2 linked regions of the Caenorhabditis elegans genome follow. The protein of the gene in region 2 purifies or fractionates together with the protein of the main gene of each other region. This does not show direct contact. Each region holds a gene or a part of one and is shown on either strand. Other genes may lie near its edges. The genes, in order: ccdc-149 and chdh-1.

Evidence for each region.
Region 1: the proteins of chdh-1 (region 2) and ccdc-149 fractionate together in Caenorhabditis elegans (co-fractionation; one large-scale study listed by BioGRID). This does not show direct contact.

Annotation. Positions count from the first base shown.
Region 1 is NC_003284.9:11,507,026-11,516,530, reverse strand, and holds ccdc-149 (Coiled-coil domain-containing protein 149), read left to right. Parts: upstream 1-5,079; 5' UTR 5,080-5,186; coding exon 5,187-5,231; intron 5,232-5,314; coding exon 5,315-5,479; intron 5,480-5,536; coding exon 5,537-5,713; intron 5,714-6,073; coding exon 6,074-6,166; intron 6,167-6,208; coding exon 6,209-6,346; intron 6,347-6,422; coding exon 6,423-6,560; intron 6,561-6,607; coding exon 6,608-6,683; intron 6,684-6,744; coding exon 6,745-6,871; intron 6,872-6,918; coding exon 6,919-7,069; 3' UTR 7,070-7,089; downstream 7,090-9,505. Other genes in the region: hpo-34 (ZM domain-containing protein), read left to right, coding at 1-3,568; F29G6.1 (Kazal-like domain-containing protein), read right to left, coding at 7,172-7,335, 7,385-7,540, 7,745-7,953, 8,007-8,092, 8,200-8,351, 8,394-8,734, 8,782-8,967, 9,010-9,182 and 2 more.
Region 2 is NC_003280.10:8,694,016-8,704,174, forward strand, and holds chdh-1 (Glucose-methanol-choline oxidoreductase N-terminal domain-containing protein), read right to left. Parts: upstream 4,914-10,159; 5' UTR 4,912-4,913; coding exon 4,755-4,911; intron 4,584-4,754; coding exon 4,388-4,583; intron 4,337-4,387; coding exon 3,995-4,336; intron 3,897-3,994; coding exon 3,589-3,896; intron 3,504-3,588; coding exon 3,217-3,503; intron 3,172-3,216; coding exon 2,809-3,171; intron 2,760-2,808; coding exon 2,613-2,759; 3' UTR 2,576-2,612; downstream 1-2,575. Other genes in the region: C34C6.3 (EGF-like domain-containing protein), read left to right, coding at 1-16; C34C6.10 (Transposase), read right to left, coding at 793-857, 1,012-1,165; sphk-1 (Sphingosine kinase 1), read right to left, coding at 5,315-5,455, 5,502-5,849, 5,953-6,059, 6,107-6,458, 6,586-6,683, 6,735-6,866, 7,410-7,653; Homeobox protein ceh-7, read right to left, coding at 9,353-9,409, 9,617-9,814.

The sequences.
Region 1 (9,505 bases), on a different chromosome or scaffold from region 2:
TTTCTCCCATTCGCCAGCTTTCTATACTGACGATCAGCGCCACCATTATGTTCCCCAAATCAAGGTGATAACAGAGTATCGACACATCAACCCTCGTCATCATTACGTGGAAAGACAAATTAGAAAAGCTGATGGAAGTGCGATTGCACAAAGTCCGCAAGTTCAAACGATTGACTATTTTAAAGAAATCAACAGGGCTCACCATTTTGTCCCATCTACGCCACCATCGCTGTTTAACAACAAGCGAGAAAGTTTCCACCATCACAGCTTTATTCCAAACAGTTTGGAAGCTGAAAGAAAGAGTCGTAGTGTTGAAAGAGCGCACCATTATCTCCCAGATTCACCAGCGAATGTGAAAGATCAGAGAAAAATAATCAGGGAACATCATTATGTTCCTCTTGAGAAACGCTCTCAATCGTTGGATTTAAAAGTAGTTCATCCTGAACATCACTATGTTCCACTTGTCAGAAAAACAACGGAGGATCATCAACAAAAAGTGAATCACGAACATCATTTCATACCAGCGGAGAAAAAAACCGAAGCAGTCAAAGATGTTGTTCACGAGCATCACTACATTCCACTGACCGCTCATAAAACTGATGAACATAATGTGAATATCACTCGAGAGCATCATTACATTCCGTTGAAAACGGAGCAAGTGCAGAGCAAAACAGAAATTGAACGTCACAATCAATACGTTCCAATGACTACTCACAAGGAAACAAAATCGTTTGATACTGGAAGAAGCCACTCTTATATCCCATTAGGTGGAAATGTGGAGCAGTCAAAAACCGAGATTTTTCGTCAGCACAACTTTGTTCCTGTTGTTGATAAAAAGGAAAAAAACGTCGAAGAAATCAATCAAAAGCATAATTATGTGCCAGCTCATTCGAATGTGGCTGTTTCCGATAAAGAGCCGATAAGCCGTCATCACAACTTTGTGCCGCTTGCAACCAAAACTGTAGAAGAGACGCGTCACTCTAACGACTTAAGTCATCATCACTATATGCCACTGCCAGCAAAAAGGGAAGAGGGAAAGACGGCAGCGGGTGATAAGGTCGGCTACGAACATCACTATTACCCGTTGGCATCGAATACTGAACGAGTTTCGGTTCACAAAGGACAAGAGCACCACTACGTGCCTCTTATTGCTAAACCAACGGAGAGTCACGCTTCCAAAATTGTCATTCAGCATCAATATATTCCGCTAGCTATGAGACATCAAAGTGTACCGAGACTTCCTTCGGAGCACAATTATATTCCGATTGCTATTCATGACGATTCGCATCAAAAAGTCGATTTGACGAACCATCAATATTTGCCACCTATTGTTAACGCCGAACAGAAAGAAGCTGTTAAGTTGTATGAGCATCAATATGTTCCACTTCCGCCCAAAAAGGATAGTTTCGCGGTAAGAAAACTTGAAGGAAAAGACCACCATTATGTTCCTCTTGTCCAGAACTACTCATCAAAAGCTCCACAACTTCCACGAGAACATCATTACTATCCGGCACCTGTTCGATCAGTAGAGCATCATCAAAAACATGTTCATGAGCAACATAACTATATTCCTGCAGTCCATCATCATGAAACAAATCATCAACTTGATCGTCAACATGGATATATTCCAGTCGCTGCAAAACACGAAGCAAAGAAAAATGTACTCTATGAGCATCAGTACATTCCGCCAATCACGAGAACGGAGCAAACGAATGGTTATGATAGAAGACACAATTATGTTCCGGTTGGAAAAACTGCAAAAGCGACAACGACAGACATCCACGTGCATCAGGATCATCAATATGTACCGCAAGCCAGCCCAAGGAAAACTATTTCGGAGGTGAATCGCTCTCACAATTACATTCCAGCCCTTCCTCCCAAAGAGCACCAATCCCGGCATGAGCACTATCAGTCTCATTCTTACCTTCCCCCTAGTCAAAAATCTACCTCACATCAATCTCCGCCTAAACTCATCAACCACTCTTTTGTCCCTCAGATTCCACACAAGACCAAGGATAATCAAGTTGTTCATGAGCATGGATATGTGCCACCTGTCAAAAAATCGGATTTAAAAACCTCTGTCGATCATTCCAAGCATGAATATTTGCCATCAGTGGTGCACACGGAGTCCAAGGATGATTTCAAACATTCGAAACATGGATATGTTCCATCATTGGAACACTCACAGAGAATTGAACGAGGCGTCGTTTCCACCCACAACTACGTGCCTCCTGTCACTAAGATCATCGAAAAAAACGCCTCCGATCCCACAAAGCATGGATATCTCCCACAATCGAAGCGTTCAAAGAGTAGTGATCAAATTGATCATTCAAAGCATGGCTTCCTTCCATCCATCAAACATCAGGAAGCTCAAGATCATGCAGATCACTCAAGACATGGGTATGTTCCACCAACGAAAAAGGCCCACAACGATTATTGGGGATTTGAGCGAGACCATCATTATGTTCCGGACACACTGAAAAAGGATAAGATCAAACAGATTCATCGTGAGCACAATTTTGTCCCATCAGTTGTTCCAGCCAAGCCCGATGAAAAATTCGAAGGACAAGATCACCACTACGTGCCGTCTGTTAGAAAAACAACCGGAATCACTTCTGAGATCGAACATCGCCACAATTTCGTTGAGAAGATTCCTTCTAAACACGAAACTCCAAAACTACCAGAAACTCATAACTACGTGCCAACTGTTCACAAATCCCAAAATTTGGACCGAAGCACATTGGAGAAGCACAATTACGTCCCCACTTACCAAAAGAAATTTGAGCCTCGTCGAACTGATATACGTCATCACAACTATGTGCCAACAATTGTCAAACCACATGAACATCGTGATAACTTTGATCACCATCATTACGTTCCACAAATTGCAAAACCTTCAGATGTGAAACTAAGTGACTATGACAAGCACCATTACGTTCCACCAGTTTTCGAAAAGAGTGTTGTCAATCAAGTTGAGTACGAACACAAGTACACTCCAACTGTTGTCAAGAGTACTGAACCAAGAATTTTGAATCACACGCAACATCATTACACTCCATCTCATCAAATTGTATCCAATACATATGACGATATCGACACTCATCATGGATATTTGCCTCAAATTCCGAGGAAAGAAACCGCAGCTCGTGTTCCATTGGGTCATCATTTTGTGCCACAAATTCCACACAAAGAAGTGGCTCCTGACTACGATCATCATCACCACTATGTGCCATCTGTTCAGCCCAAAGCGCCAACTCCAGCCGTAGATTACCAACATCACTATTTGCCTTCAGTCAAGAAACCAACTAGCACTACCACTGATATGATTCGACAACAAAGGAAAAAAATTCTGAAGAGCACTGATGATGATGAAGATCAAGAAAATCAGTATGTGGCGAAACCACCAGTCTACACAAATGCATTCGTAAAACCGTACAAGACAATTCCTGATGAACCAACAAACTACATGCTCAAAAATGGAAAATCTCGTAACAATGGCATTCCTGAGGAGCCATCGCAACCAGTTCCCAAACCTCGCTCTTTCACCTCTCCTCAGCCTGATTATTAGATATGCCAGATTTCTTAAATTTATTTTTTAACTTAGTACTTTTTTCTCATTTTTTGAAACTTGACTTCCAAATCTCTTTTGCCCAATTTCCCCATCCCCCATCTATAATATCATTAGGTATGCCAACTTACATCCGGCGTTATCAGTAAACAAAAAATTGCAGAAAGTGAGTGAGCACGTGCAGTTGGGCGGTTCCCGGAAGTCGACAATCCAAAGTGGACATCATCACCACCATCATCATGATCACGAGAATCGCAACGATGTTCCATCGAGACCATCAAGTGTTGCTAATTATGTCAAGGTAACATATTCTTGTAATTAGAAAATCCCATTCAATCACATTCCGGAACACACGACATAAAAGCTCACTTATTATTTTCAGCACCAGCCACATTCTCGCACCTCGACGGTGAGCACTGTTCGTGGAGCTCCAGTTCAACGTAAGTATATTTTGGAATTTGTTTTTTGTACAACGTTGGAATTTCTAGATGTTTGTTTAGATAACACTTAATACACATAACATTCTGATATTGATGATACCTTCATTTTTTAGGTGTCAATCCAACTGTTCAACAGCATGTTATTTACAATCCATACGGAGACCATCAATCTGTTCGTGTCGTGAAAAATGTTCGAGAGTTTGTCAACGTTTTTGGAGCAACTCACGTTGTTCCACCACCAACTCCTCTTGCTGGAGTGCCACGACTTTCCCAAAGAAGCCCAATTTCTCATGAAACATTCCAACCGCATGATGAGTGCAACTCTGTGAAATCTTCTCGTAAAAACACATTAGTTTCGGTTGGAAAAGGAATCCAAATTAATGATGTAAAATGACTTTATTTGAAAGAAAAAAAAAATTGAGTTTTAAGGCTCCACGCAAATCAACTTGTTCATCTGTTGCCTCTTCTCGCTCGTCATCTGTCTCCACTGTTTCTGCTCCAATTCTTGTTGGTGGAAATATTGCTGTTCCAACTCCGGTAATTTTGTTTTTTTTTCAATAACTTAGTAACTTAATTTGTTCAGAGATCCCGCAATGCTACTCTCACACAAGAAAACGTCCACGAGCACGACGTAAGTTTACAAAGTTGAACAATAATTTATTTTGTTTTATTTTTAGCAATATGACGATTTGATTCATGTTGCTGATATGCGCAAGCTTTTTGAAAACTATGGACCTGCTCATCTTCCGGAATACGCGTCGAACCCATCTGCTTACATTCACTAATTCTATTTGTATTATCTTAACTGCAATCCAACTTTTTAAATGTTTTATTCTAAACCTGTGATAGCTAGTCATTTTCTGTTATTTTTGACACTTTTTGTACTTATTCTGGGGTAGTTGGGCTTCTTTTTCTTATTTTCTCTTATTTCGTCAAGTGGTAAACTTAATAAATTTATTTTCACTAAACTTCGTTGTTTGGAAAAGAAGCTTCAAGATATCATACAGCAGAAATTCATTTCGTACTCGAAAGTTTATGTTCGCCCAACTTTTTCAATGCATGAAAGGCGGTCATGGAAAACGTGTGCGAGGAGCAGTGAGGCCCTCTCTTCCCCCTCTGTGCATATCGATTTTTGTCCTTATTTAGTCTTCTAATGCTCTTTGAGCTGTGCCATCTTCATGAAAGAAAATAATAATGCGGAGATTCTCGAGCTCAAGAAACAAGTAAGAACTTTTTATTAAAAAATTATATATTTTTTTTGCAAAATCGTTTTCTGACTATAACTATGTTTAATACATAATTATAGTTTACCGCTCTCCAACAAAAATGCGGTGCGAAAACAGACACGATCGTGAGACTCGGACAAGATTTGGAGAAATCTGAGAATGAGAAAAAGGGACTTGCGGCCAGAGTCGAAACACTAGAACGAAATTTGGAAAGATCTGAAAGAGAATTGCAGTTAGTATGTGCGGTAAGTCAACCTTCATTAAATAAATCATTATCAAATTTTTAACGAATTTTAATTTAGTGTCAGAACGACATGAAAATAAAATTCGGAACAGAGCGACAGGATTTGATAGAAGATATTGAAAAGTACAAGCGAGAAAATCAACAATTAAGGACCGACAGGCAAGAATTGTTGGACCAAAAAGCTGACTTGAAAAAAGACTGCAAAACGTTTCGACAGACAATTGCTCAGTTTGAGGTAAACATTTGAATATTTACAGAATATCGAGAAACATTTCTACTTATTTCATTTCGTTTTTTTTTAATTTAAAATGATTATATTGAGAGATTTATTGCAACAGAAACAAAAAATCTTGACAAAAAAACGAGTTTATTTCATAAAATTGATTCATTCGTTTTTCAGGTACAAATACCTTTTAATCTTTTTAAAAAGTTCATACATAATAATATGAGACTTTGCAGCAAAGTCTAATATTATTATGTAGCATAAATTTAATTTATAGCCATTATATTGTTTTATAAACAATCTTCGATAAAAACATTTTGCGAAATTTGTACTTAATTTTTTAAAATTAGCTTCAATGTTTATGGCTTTTAGGTAGAAAAAATGGGAGGACCGGTTCGAAATTCATTTTCAACGGAAAATGACGAAGTTTCAAAGCTGGAAGCTCATGAAAAACTTCAGGCAAAGGTTTGTTCCGTTTCAATTTGGTTTGCCATAATTGTTTTTCAGTGCAAAGGTCTTGAATCGGATCTCCGGTCTATGCTTGGAATCAAAGAAGAGCTGCTCATGGAACGCGACGAAATGCAGCGGAAGGTAGCAAGATTGAGCAACGAGTTGAGTTATTTGTTGAATGGAGATCCGAGAAGGGTAAGTCAAGTATTCCCTTTTTTATACACCTGGTATTCGGATTGTTTTTGAGTTGAATTCTAATTGGCGTATTTAGGTGGCCGAAGATTTGGACAGTTTAGTGGCCGAAAACCGGTTTTTGAAAGCCAAACTAAACACTGCAGAAGAAGAGAGTGAGTCCATAAAAATGACACTTGCCAAATACAAACAAATGGCCGAAGCTGTAAATGTACAGGTAACTTTTTGGAATCATTATCGCCTATGTGAAAATTTTATTTCAAGACGATGGTGAATAGATCTCCAAAGGCTGGCGAAGGAGATGACAAACCAAGTGTAGCAGTCATCAATATGAAACAAAGTGAGACTTTTTGGACACAGTTTTTGTACTTCGTATTCCATTATTTTCCGGCATATTTCAGTTCGTGAGTTGCTAGCTTCTCATGCCATCGAACTCGTCGAGTCCGATTATCGTGCGATAACAACTATTCTGCTCGATTTGTGCAATGATAAGCAAATGGCGTTGGCACACTCACGTCGTGCTAACAAGTGGGAGTCATACAACGTTTCAATAAGGAATACTGTTTTTTTTTCAGAGTACTGGGAATGAGATTACATGAAGTTGAATCAAAGCTTGCTGTATTAGATATAAAGTCAAGAAGTTCAAGTCCGAGGCATGAACTCCCTCGAGATGAAGACATTGAACTGGTAGTCCCAAAGGCAGTGGCAAGTACATCGAGTAAATGAATAAATCGTTTAAATGTCAACCTTTTCCAAACATCTCACCATTTATTTACAAAAAAACAACTATAAAACAAAAAAGTTAAATTATAATTTGATTGGGAATCTTCACGTTCGTAATAGCGGGCAGGGTGTGGCAAGAAGCACGTCTTGTGTTCGTCGCCACGTTTCACATGCTTTCAGATTAAAATAACACGAGTTTCGGTATATGTTCTCATGTTGGTCACAAATAACAGACAACTCATCTGTACATCCAGCGGGACAGCATTTTCCTGAAAACAAGTAGTTCAATAGTTGTATTGAAGTAACAAGAAAACAAACCTTGGTAGTCCAGGGTTAACGTTGTGTTTTGAGTATGAATCTTGTCAAATATACACTTTGAGTTATGAAAGTGACAAAGAGAATCATGAGTTCGACCTCTTGAGTCACATACCGGCTGTCCGGTTTTTGGGCACGAAGCTAATGCACAACACTCTCCTGAAAAGTTGCATCTGTTTGAAATTTTGAAATTTATTTTTTTATTTAAGGTGATTCATTATAATCAAATTGTCAGGTATATGTACATGTTCCATTTTAAACATGTGTATTCAATGAGTTAATATTGAGTACACGAAAAATTTCAACTTCATTTTTTTTGCTCTTTTTTTTTGCTGTTGTTGGTTTGAAAAAACTTTAATATACCTGTATGAACAATGTTTAGAGTCTTCTGAGATATGGTTTGTGCCATACATCTTCTTTGTTGATAAACACAATGATTCATATGAGTTTGACCCTCTGAATCACAAACTGCTCCAGAACTTTCACACTCTCCTTTTGGGAGAAGACAACACTCTCCTGAATAGGCAATGCTGAGCGTTTTGTTTACTCGTTCTGCTTCACATTGTGCAATTCTGAAAGTGTCAGTATTTGCGGTCACAGAAAATAGGACAATATATGAGCCTACCTGAATCTGCAAATGTTCGGATGTGTAATTGTTCCGTCGCAAACTGGGGTTTTATCTTCATCACATGGCTGGTTACAGCATTGTCCCTTTAATTAATGTAACTAATCTGATTTAAAGTTAAAAAAAAAATAATATTTTTGTCCTTATAATGGCATTGGAAACCTTTCGTTCAAAAATTTATTTCAGAGTTTACCTGATAGGAAACTTGAATGGTTTTCTTGTTCTTTTTCATCTGAATGCATGCATTTTGATCCATGAGACACATATTCGCATGGGTTACTCCTTCAGTATCACAAACTGGTGAGAAGACAGAAATGTCGCAATTTTCGATTCTACAGCATTCTCCTGAAATTAATATTTTTATTTGAAACTAGAAAAATTGCAAACCGTCGTAATCTTTCACCAGTTTATCTCCAGTTGTCACATTATTTTCTACAAGACATCGAATTTTATCTAGTTCACACTCGTTCACAATGTTCTGCCCATTTGATGCACAAACTGGGCTGTATTCTTTTGGACACGCGTTGTTACATTCCTTGACTTCATTGCAAACTTCAAATTTGTCAATTGTAAGAACATCCCCAAATGTTCGTTCGGCAATACATCTTTTGACTCCGAAATGGCATATGTTCTGATGAGTACTTCCTTTACTATCACAAACTGGGCTGAAATCGGACGGACAGTTGGTATCACAACACATTCCGGTGTAAGCAACTTCAATCGTCGAGCTGAAACTCTGATCATCTATATTTGAAAAACTATCAAACTTCATTACTTCGCCGATTCACAAATCTCTTTCTGAAGGGAGCATGCGTTGGTAAAAGTAACTCCGTTAGTTCCACATAGAGGATCATATGAGTTGTCACATTCCATAGAACAATTAAAAGTATTTTCTCTTTTGAATTCTATGTTTGGTTTTTGGAAATTTCGATTGCTTGAAAAGTCATCGGTTAGCATATCTCTGAAACAAGATCTGCATTTCAATTTTTCATAATTTTCCTACTTTTCGCAAATCCCTTGTGAAACAACGACAAGCTTTGGTTGATCTAATTTCTTCAGCTTGCAGTTTTCGATGTTTAGTTCGCATTCTGTCAAAAACGTAGCTCCACTATCAGTGCAGACTGGATCCGGTTTTTCAGTATCGCATGACTCAACAGGAGGGCAACATACTCCAATCTGAATATCAAAAACAATTGATGAAACAATTTCTTTCCTAACTTACATATTGAACAGTTAGGTTCACACCGTATCCGCGCTCAAAAATGCAAGACAACATTTGATATTCACACAGTGATTTTGTAGATTGGTCTTCCAAGCAAACAAAAGACTCATCCGGGGAATTTTCTGCTGGGAGAGCACATGGAGAATCTAGACATTCGCTGCATTTTCCTGAATTCAACTATTTGAATGTTTTTTTTTCCAAAAAGTGTAACCTTTGAATAAAACTTCTAATTCAGAATCCAAACATTTCTGTTTTCTAAACTGACATAGATTTTCAT
Region 2 (10,159 bases):
CGTTATTTTCTATTAAGTTTTCACTTCGATATCCCATTCCACTATTATTACCGGTATCTAAACTAGCTAATTATTTAATTATACTTGTAAATAATCAACTTCTAGCCTTCAATGCCTAGTGTTCGAGAATTAATCATAATCTAAATAAATTTTTTTAAATAAATAAAAATCTAATTTATGGTTTGCAACTGGCGATGGAAGTTGTTGTTTCTTGTGTTTGATTAGATCCACTACTCGTTCTGTCATCATTATCACCGAACTGTTCATGTGCACATTGCATCGTGCCGTCAAGGACTTCATGATTCAAGACGGCTTATGCAGTGTGAGTAGCAATATTGAATTTAAAAGATACACATTTTTTGTTCAGATGAAAGGAACGGGTCTCTATGGCTCAAATTTCCGTGACGAGAATTTCGAGAAGAATATTTTATTAATTACAATACATAATCGTAAAAAAACATAATATTTTTGAATGAATTAACTTTTAACAATTGAAGAAAAATTTAGATGATAGCCGAAAAAATCAATTTCTAATAGTAAGAACAATGCCATTGTAGGAAAATACAATAGCTTACTTCAGGCACCACGGGAGTCTCTGGCTTCATAATCGTGCATAACGTAATTGTTAATTTCATCGGTTTCGTCCCGAGTGGCTTCTGTGACACGTATAGCACATGACCATAATTTGTGAAAGTCCTTGAAATTCGGAAGACCGGGCAAATGACCATTGCCTCTTTTGACAGATCCTTCACAATCGAGTGACAAGGAATTGCTAGAAGCTCCGTCAATGATTCAAGCCAAAAAGAGAGATTCGGCTCCGTGATGGACGTCGCCATTTTGGCCTTGTTGATAGCCGTCTGAAAACCATGAATATATGACAAAATATGAATTTTGAGAAAAAAAAAGTAAAATATAATAAACTGTTAATTTCATTTGAGGTTTTATTTAGAGGTCAGAAAGAAATGAATCCAGGATCTAAGCAGAAATCTTCGGAATCAAGCTCAAACTTACTCTTCAATTTTTCTTTGGTGAATGGGCCAATCTCAGTGGTGGGCTCGTCGGCTTCACTGCTGATCCACGCCTTCATAGTTTTGCATGGCACTTTCAATAAGTCATTGAAGCGACTTCCGAAAGTTGCTGTGTCGAGTGCTAACTTTTCGACCATTTTCAGGATAGAAAATGTTGTTTCCTAAAATGATAATTATGAGGTATTTATATATAATAATTATGATAATCCTTACGTCACTCTTCACACCACATAAAACTATTTGATTGGAAGAGAACAGCTTGTAGGTGTGAGTTGGCTGAGATTTTCTGCTTGCCCACCAATTGAATGAGACGGTCTTGCAATTACTACAATATTTTCAGATGAATAGTCATCCAGCAAATATATAGACTGTCCACTGCAACGGAATTTGGGCTCGAGAATTGCATGTGCAATTGCATCTGACGTGCCAAAGATAGTAATTTTCATATTCCGGTCGCCTGAAAAAAAGCTGAATGCTTTACGGTAAATCCTGGCCTGTAGATATAGATATAGAATATCATAACCTAATGTTTTTTAATATGAAATTAGCAAGTATGTGTACTTCACAGGTGTTAATTTTAATTTGTGAAGGATCAAAATTTCACGAGATTATCACAATGTTCTGAGAAAAGTTTGCGACTTTAATTTGAACTAGGTAAGGTAAGTCCCGCCCATTTTTAGGTATTTGCATCTAAATCCTCGAAATTGTATAATTTTAATGGTTTAAATATTTTAATGGTCCTTGTTGTTTAATGGTCCTTGTTGTGACACAATAATACTGAAACCATATTCTGCTAGGAGTTTCCTGATCTTTGGTCGATGGGAAGGCATTTCGTACGTATTCCCTGAAAAGATAAATAATACATTATAATATAAATAAAAAATATAAAGAAAAATAATGAGAGAAAAAAATAACTTGTTTTCGTCAGTACTACTTGCTCAAAGTTGGAGCGGGTCGACTCTTTTTGACCCATGCGCACCCCTGGTCGGTAGATGGCGTCGCGACAACGTGGCAGTGGCCACCGCAAAGTTCACGTGTTTATTAATGACGTGGAGTCTTTCTTTTTAATTATCTGTCTGTTGTATTGGAAGTTTGTGCTTTAATTTGAAAAAGGTTTTCTCTAGAAGGTATAGTAAGTTGGTGATAGTAGAGAGTATGGTACTGTATAAAATCCTGTGGGATTACTGTAGGAAAACGGTAGGATTACTGTACTCTCCGGAACTGTGAAATTTTGATTTTTAAAGAGATAATGGATGGAAAGATGATGTCGAGGTACTGTATGGTACTGTAGGATTACCATAATACGAAGAAACTAATTGTAAGGAAAATGGAATGTCACTATTCGAAAAAAATTCATTTCAAAAATCGAACCAATAAATCGACACAAGTGCTGTTTACAGTATTTAGTGGTTTAAAGTATTACTGTAGTTTTCGCAACGGGATAATTTTGGCGTCAATACACATTTTCAGAGCACTGCATTTATATAATAGTTAGGTAATTGCTTAATTATACGTGTACGTCTTTCAACCCCACAGTTCGAATTATTCAGAATCTAAATAACTTTATTAAAATAAATAAAAATCCTAGTTATGGTGCCAAACATTTGCATCTGACGGTGGAAGTAGTTGTTTTTTGTGTTTTATCAGATCCGCTGCTCGTTCTGCCATCATTATCACTGGGGCGTTCAAGTTTCCACTAACAATTGATGGCATTACACTTGCGTCGACGACCTGAAATATAATGAATGCACGAAGTGTGAGAATTTCATTGATTCCTTACTTTCAAATTTTCTGTTCCGTATACTCCCATCGTTTCTGGATTAACAACTGCCATTTTATCATTTTCTGATCCCATTTTACAAGTACATGATGGATGATATGCTGATGCTGCTTTTTCTTTAACAAATCGATCAATATCAGCATCTGATTGGCAATCTGGTCCAGGAGCCAACTCCTTTCCTCTGAATTCGTCAAACGCTTTTGATGCGAAAAGTTCACGAGACACTCGGATACATTTACGGAATTCTCGCCAATCTGAATCTTCTTCCATATAGTTCGGATTGATGATTGGAGCACGGCGAGGATCCTTGGCTTGTAACATTATGTATCCTTTCGATTGAGACCGCATTGGACCAACATGGACCTGTAAATTGCAATTAAGATTGATATAAAAGTTATAATTTATTACCTGATAACCATGACAAGTTCCATTGGTTCTACCATCATCGTGTACTGTAGATGGTAAAAAGTGGAATTGAATATCAGGATGTGTAACCGTATCATCTGATCTTGCAAATCCACCAGTTTCCAAATGAGATGATGCACCTAGTCCTGTTCGATTTGTGAACCATTCGAGCCCGATTTTGATCATATTGTGTGGGAACTTCCATGAACTTTTGTTGTATAGGGTTACGGGTTGCGTTGATTCTTGTTGAACATAGATCTCAAGATGATCTTGAAGATTCTGACCAACTCCTGGAATAATTTTTTGAATCATTGTAGTTTGATAACAAAATTTGCAAATTTTAAACAATCTAGCAAGTTGTACTAGAATACGTACCAGGTAAATTTGCAACTATTGGAATTTCGTGAGACCTCAGATGATCAGCTGGCCCGACTCCACTGAGCATAAGCAATTGGGGTGTATTGATGGCTCCACCAGCCAAAATAACATCTCCTTGGCAATAAATCTTCTCTCTACTGTATGAATCGATAGAATCCGTTCCGACAAAGTTCAATTTTCGAATAAATTCGATTCCGATCGCCTTGTTCGTGTCGAATAATACCCGTGTACAAGTGATTCCAGAAGATGTGATCAAGTTCGGACGGTTTCGAATCGGATGAACATATGCTTTCGATGCGGACCAGCTGAAAAACTATTGAGAATTAGTATCAGTGATATTTCTATTTATAGGAAGAAATGGTAGATCAATTGTTATATTTTAAAAAATCCGCTGAATCCTTACCGTTCTCCATTATGAATAGTCATATCCATAGTAGATATTCCTTCCTGTTTTTCTCCATTCATATCATTTGTCCAACCTAACGGATGTTCTTTTCCAACATTTAACCAAGCTTTATGCAATGGATTTTCAGCATCTCCTTTTTTAACGTATAATGGACCATTATTTCCTCTATATGGGTCATTTGGACCGGTTGCGTCAGAATAAGTCTCTGCTTTTTTGAAGTATGGTAGACAATTTGCATAGTTCCATCCTGATGCACCTTCTTTCTCCCATCGATTATAGTCGTAGGCATGTCCTCGTACATAGCACATTGCATTCAGTGTTGAACTTCCACCCCATACTCTGGAAATGTTTCTAATAAATTGAATTAGAAAAACCTAAGTCGAAACAAACCTTCCTCTCGGCCAATAAAATACTCGATTTCCTAAATTTTTTTGAGCAGTTGTGTGATAATGCCAGTTATAAGTGTCTGAACAGAGATTATACATAAGTGCAGCTGGCATGTGTATTCTCCAATCCCATTTATGATCAACTGGTCCAGCTTCGATAAGAAGTACTCGATTCGAAGGATCTTCAGTTAGACGGTTTGCTGTAAGTTCAATTTGAATATAACATTGAAATTGAAATTTTAACTACGGTTGTCTCTTTTTCGACATGAAAATCCAATAATCAATATTCTGTCTTTTTTGAAGAAAGTTAAAAATGATGAAAAACAATTGGTTTCAATCTGAAATTACCAAAATCAAGAGAAATCTCCTACCTAAAACGCAGCCAGCACTTCCAGCTCCAACAATAATATGCGTTGGTTTATTTTCTGCAATATCCGCTGAAAATGTGCCTTCTTTCATCGAATCTCTCCAGTTTATCCATCGTTTTGAGGTCCTTTGTAGAGATCGTGCCGCATGATTTTGAAGCATATCTTCAAAATGGGAAATAAAATAACTTTTTTTCCAGTGGGTCTTTTTTTTTTTTGAAAACAGTATCTAGAACCAATAACTTGACTTTCACGTAAAACAATTCAGTAGAGAATAGGAAAATAATTTTTAAACGTTTAGAAAATTTTTAAAGTAAATAAATCACAGAAAAGGCAAGTAAAAAATGAGGAAAGCACACGAAACGAAGTAGAGGAAAAGTGAGAGAGGGGACCCTTGAATAGATTAAAAACTTCAAAAAATGTGAGGAAAAGCTATTTCAATATACTTTAAATCCTAAAACATAGTTATTAGGTTACTTCTTTGGGAAAATAAAATAAAATCTATACATCGGTGTTTGTACACAAGGAAAACCGGTTAGAAATCAAAGATAAAAGATATTTAATTTCTAGGCAGTTGATGAGAAAACGGAAATATGATTTTTTGTCGATGCTACTTCAATTGTTTTCGTGTCGACTACTTCTCCATCGAGTACTACGTGTGATCCTTCACTGATAACTTCCAGTTTCATTGACGACACTTCCACGTGCTGAAAATTTAGTTTTGAATTAATAGAAAGAAAAGGTGACACTAACTTTAACAAAGGGTAGATCCAGATGAGTCTCGTGTTCAATCGCCAAAAGATATTTAGCAATATTAACTCGTGTACCGATATCTTTCCATAGAATATACGAAAGATGAATTCGATTATCTTCTAATTTGGCACTTGGAGCGAATGGTCCATCAGCTGCGATATGGGAAAGAGTAACTGCATAGATATTCACAAAATTATCCTCGATTACGACAGTTTCTTCTAAATCAGAACTTCCAACTGCCAAAGTTTCATCTGAATCGGGCAGCGTCCAATTTTGGAATTTTGTCTCCATTGTTTCTTCTTCGGAATCTGACACGGATCCATTCGTTTTTACTTTTGAATCATCAATCTAGAAAAATGAGAAATTATTGGAAGGGTCGTTACTAATAAAAAATACTTAAAAAATATATGTTAAGAACTATTTTAAAAAATATATTTTTGAAATTGATCACCCTTTGTTGTGTAGTTTTTTCATACACACTGAAAACGTTGGACGATGGATGGAATCCTTTTGGTTTGTATGGACGATACGTAAGGCGTCCTTTATAAGATCGGAGATCTGAAAATTGGAAGTTTTAGAATAATTTAAATTTTTTAAAATCTTACTGCAGCTGCGAATGAATCCCATAACAGTGAATCTGTGATGGCCAAGCGATTTTCTCCATTTCTCACTGTCAATGTCAATATCTGCCATCAAACCCCATCCAATTGACAAAAACGATGCATATGACTGATTATCTGTTTTAACTGAATACAAAGCTACGCTTTCCGCCTTTGCTGTTGGTGAGGTGGCAATTTCCAAAGCTCTTTCCATTACAGATTTCTCGTTCATTTTTGTTCCGTATTTCGACAAAACCGAACATAAAAGTCCGTTTCCGGATCCGCTGGGAACAATTCCGATTGGGAGAGTTGGGAATATCCGGAATGCATCTTCACGACAAAGAATTCCGTTGAGAGCCTGAAAATTTACAAATTTGAAATTAAAATTGCATTATTTCGGCGGAAAGGTGAATAATATAATTTTTTAAATTCAAAAACTGCCTCCAACGAATTTAAACTAATTTCGTGTTTTTTGAAAGCGTTACCTCGAAAACCAAACCATCTCCAGAAAGAATCAAAACCCCATTGAACTTTCCAAGGTCGGCTTTTGTCATGAGCACATTTCTCGCGTGATTCGGCCCGGCTGTAAAGTAAACATTAATTTGTTTTTTTTTCTAGTTTTCCTGAAACTCACTCGTAACAACGACTTCATATCGAATCAAGCTTTTATCCAACTTCGGTCCAACTGTATTCGCAAAAGTCTCCAGACTTTTTCCAGTTCCACTGTTAGGATTGATGAAAACAAGAAGATTTCCACGACATTGTTCTGTAAAATAATTTTAAAATAGAATATGGGAAGAAATTATTGAATTAATTATTTATTATGTTGCTAAAATTCTAAGAAAATCCTAACCTTCCATTATTCCAAAGTTTAAGTGGGTTCTTGTGAGATATTATAAACAAACGATTCTCGAAAATTGGCTGCGTGGTCTTTGGCATATCGATTTTTATGTAACAACAGGCGGTTTAATCGAGGGATCAATGACCAGCATTAACAAGCGGATGAAACGAGTTGAACATTTATACAATTATTTTTCAAAACAACTTTTGATTTGAATTGAAATTTGATTTGAAAATTAAAGAAAAAATAAATTAAAGGATTTTTAGCTACGGTAAAGCATCACATTTTACGACAGTGCAGCGGATCCTACGCAGAAATGCACCCGTCGTGAAACTTTTCAGGCCTAGACGCATGTATAGCTCTTTTTCAAACATGAATACTTGAAATATTTTTCAATTAAAATCACAATTTATCATGAAATTAATTACGTTATTAGAAAAATATTAAACTTTTCCAAAAAAAACTCACCCTGTGGCGGTGGTTTTCTGCTCAATATCACACTTGTGAGCTGCTCGTTTTCCTCAGCATCCGATCGGCAACAGCAGCAAATTGTCCCGCCCATGTGATGTTCGGTGCAAGTGCACTTTGATGTAGAGTCCTGCATACTCCGAATTGTCTTTAGCTTTCGTTTGATAGTTAGACTGAATATTGTTAGTAGCGAAGAGTACCATTGTGTATAATTTTCAAAAATTGTTACCACTACTATGAACATTTTGGTTAATGTAAAGGTATGAGGGGCTCAAGGAGTTGGTCATGGTTAGAGTGTGTTAGAGAAAGAGAGTGGTTAGATGAGAAATGACAGGAGTTGAACACGGCTTAACTAAGTGCGAAGTACCTGTACGAACATTTTTAGACGTACGGTTTTCTCAATTTAATATAATTTCAAATTAAGCTTGAAATCTTAAATCGCTGGCACCGTTCAGCTAACAGTTCTTGGAAGGAAATGTTTATTTTACAGAAAATCGATATGCAAAGCACATGCACTTTTTCTAACAAATTTGGGTTGGAAATTATTTAGCCTTATAAATATTCATTTTTACTATTTTTCAATGTTTTAAAGAACCAAGGATTTTTGAGCGTTAAAAACATTGTTGTAGTCTATTGCGAGTTGCTATGGTGCATAAAATAGACTTATTGAGCACTGCAACGCTACACACATTTTCGCTTATTTACACTGCAAACAACTCACAGAAAAGGTTAGTAGAAAATGAACGAGTACTGATGTGTTCAGTTTTTTGAAAAAAACAAAATTCTAAAATAGGGACACAATGTTTTATTGTCACGTGGTAAGAAATGTTTGAATGAAAACATTAAATGAACAATAGGACGTAGGTTGAATGGGGAACAATTAAGAGTGCAGGGCAATAGACAAGGAATGGGAAATGTAGGGAACCTGTGTGGATTAATTTATATTGAGGAAGGATATGAATCATGCAGTTTGGTTAAACATGTGTATTTATACTTTAACTTCATAAAACATAAAGTATCTAATTTCAATCTTCTAACTATATGCTGTGAAACTGTAATCAAAACCATTTTGTAGAAAGGAAACTATAATGGATTTCAGAGTACTTTTTTGAGATTTCAGATCTGATCAATGGGAGAGTTATTTTCCAACTAAATAATAATTGAAAAATGAATGATCAAGACAATAAAGATGGAAATTTAAAAGTAGTCAGTCAACCACATAAGTTGATAACACTATCTTGAATTGTTTCAATTCCGGGAAAAATTAAAAATTTGAGCGTTTTCCAGAGGGAAATACCTCTACAGCCAGGTGGAATACGGAAAGAGTTGCGGAAAGTGAGCAAACATCTCTCTTGAATTATCAAAGCATTGTATTGACTATTGGGAGAATAGTGCACTCTGAGATCGCTGAGTGAATGAACGGTCACTTTGATGAAAAAACAAGGAAGTATTACTAGATGTGTTCTTTTCAAAGGTAAACTGTGAAAATAAAAGTTGCGCCGTGTGCACAAACCTATATGCTTTTCAATCTATACGTTCTCAAGTCTCCCATAACTTTATGCTTTTTTGCAAGTTTTGGCCAGTTTTTCCAATTAAAATGCACTAGATGATTTTTTAAACAATATGAGTTTATTATTTTTTAAGAAAGAATTGGCTGCTTCTAATCAATGCAAAACATACAAAAAAGAGAAAAATCAAACATCACAACTCATTTATGTAGTGTACTCCCCATGACTCGCCTACCAACTTGACTGTTTGTCCAAGAAATCGACAATTTGTCAGGTTAAAAGACAATGGGTTAATGTCTGGAAAAGTGTCAGATGATCAGGAATTTGCTCTCGAGGAGTTTTCAAAACCGTAAAGCGATGTTTTCAATGTTGGAAATAGTGGTTCTAACTACAAAATTTATTTCAGTGAAATGAAATTAAATAAATATTTGACTATTATTTATTGGCTTCTCTTCTCATCCGGATTCGACGATTTTGGAACCAAATCTTCACCTGTAATGTGCTACGTCTCGGAAAATTATTGAATGATAACAACTGATTTAAAAATTTTTTATTTTTTTCCTAGATTGATCTAATCACATCTTTACAACATACAATCGGATATGTTAGACTTAACGTAGAAGTTGCTGGAGCTCAGCCTGGTGGATAAATTTCGCAAACAATTTTAATAGAGAATAGATTTCTAAAAACAATAGAAACCTGATATTCATCTAGACTCAAAATCCTTGCCAATCTTTCCCTTTCATCACATCCAACATACTGACTTTGTGCAAAATACATTTCGAGTAAATATAGTTGTTCCACTGTAAATGTGGTTCTTCTACGTGGAATTCTGGAGGTTGAAGCTTCTGGTCTAACCATCATCAGTAAGAATGTAAAGACCATTTCGTGTTTCATATTTATGCCGTCAATTGTCAGTACAAGGGGCCGCCCGTTTTCGTTTCGTTTCGTTTAAATTATAGGGAATACATTATAAAATCACACCTTTTGTGTATATCTTCGTAGTTTTATTGGACATTTTAATAGGCCTTGTTTATAAAAGAAAATATAATAATGATGACATTATACAAAAAAGTATTCAAGGAATGTTTTATAGTTACAAAACCTATAGGTATACAGAATATGTCAAAATAGGGGAAAAAACTGAATGTATGCAGTCGACGAATAAGGTTGTCTTGACATTTTTTTGGTTAATAATGTTTTTCCTGCCAGTTTCGATATCTTTGAAATTTTGATCCAGAT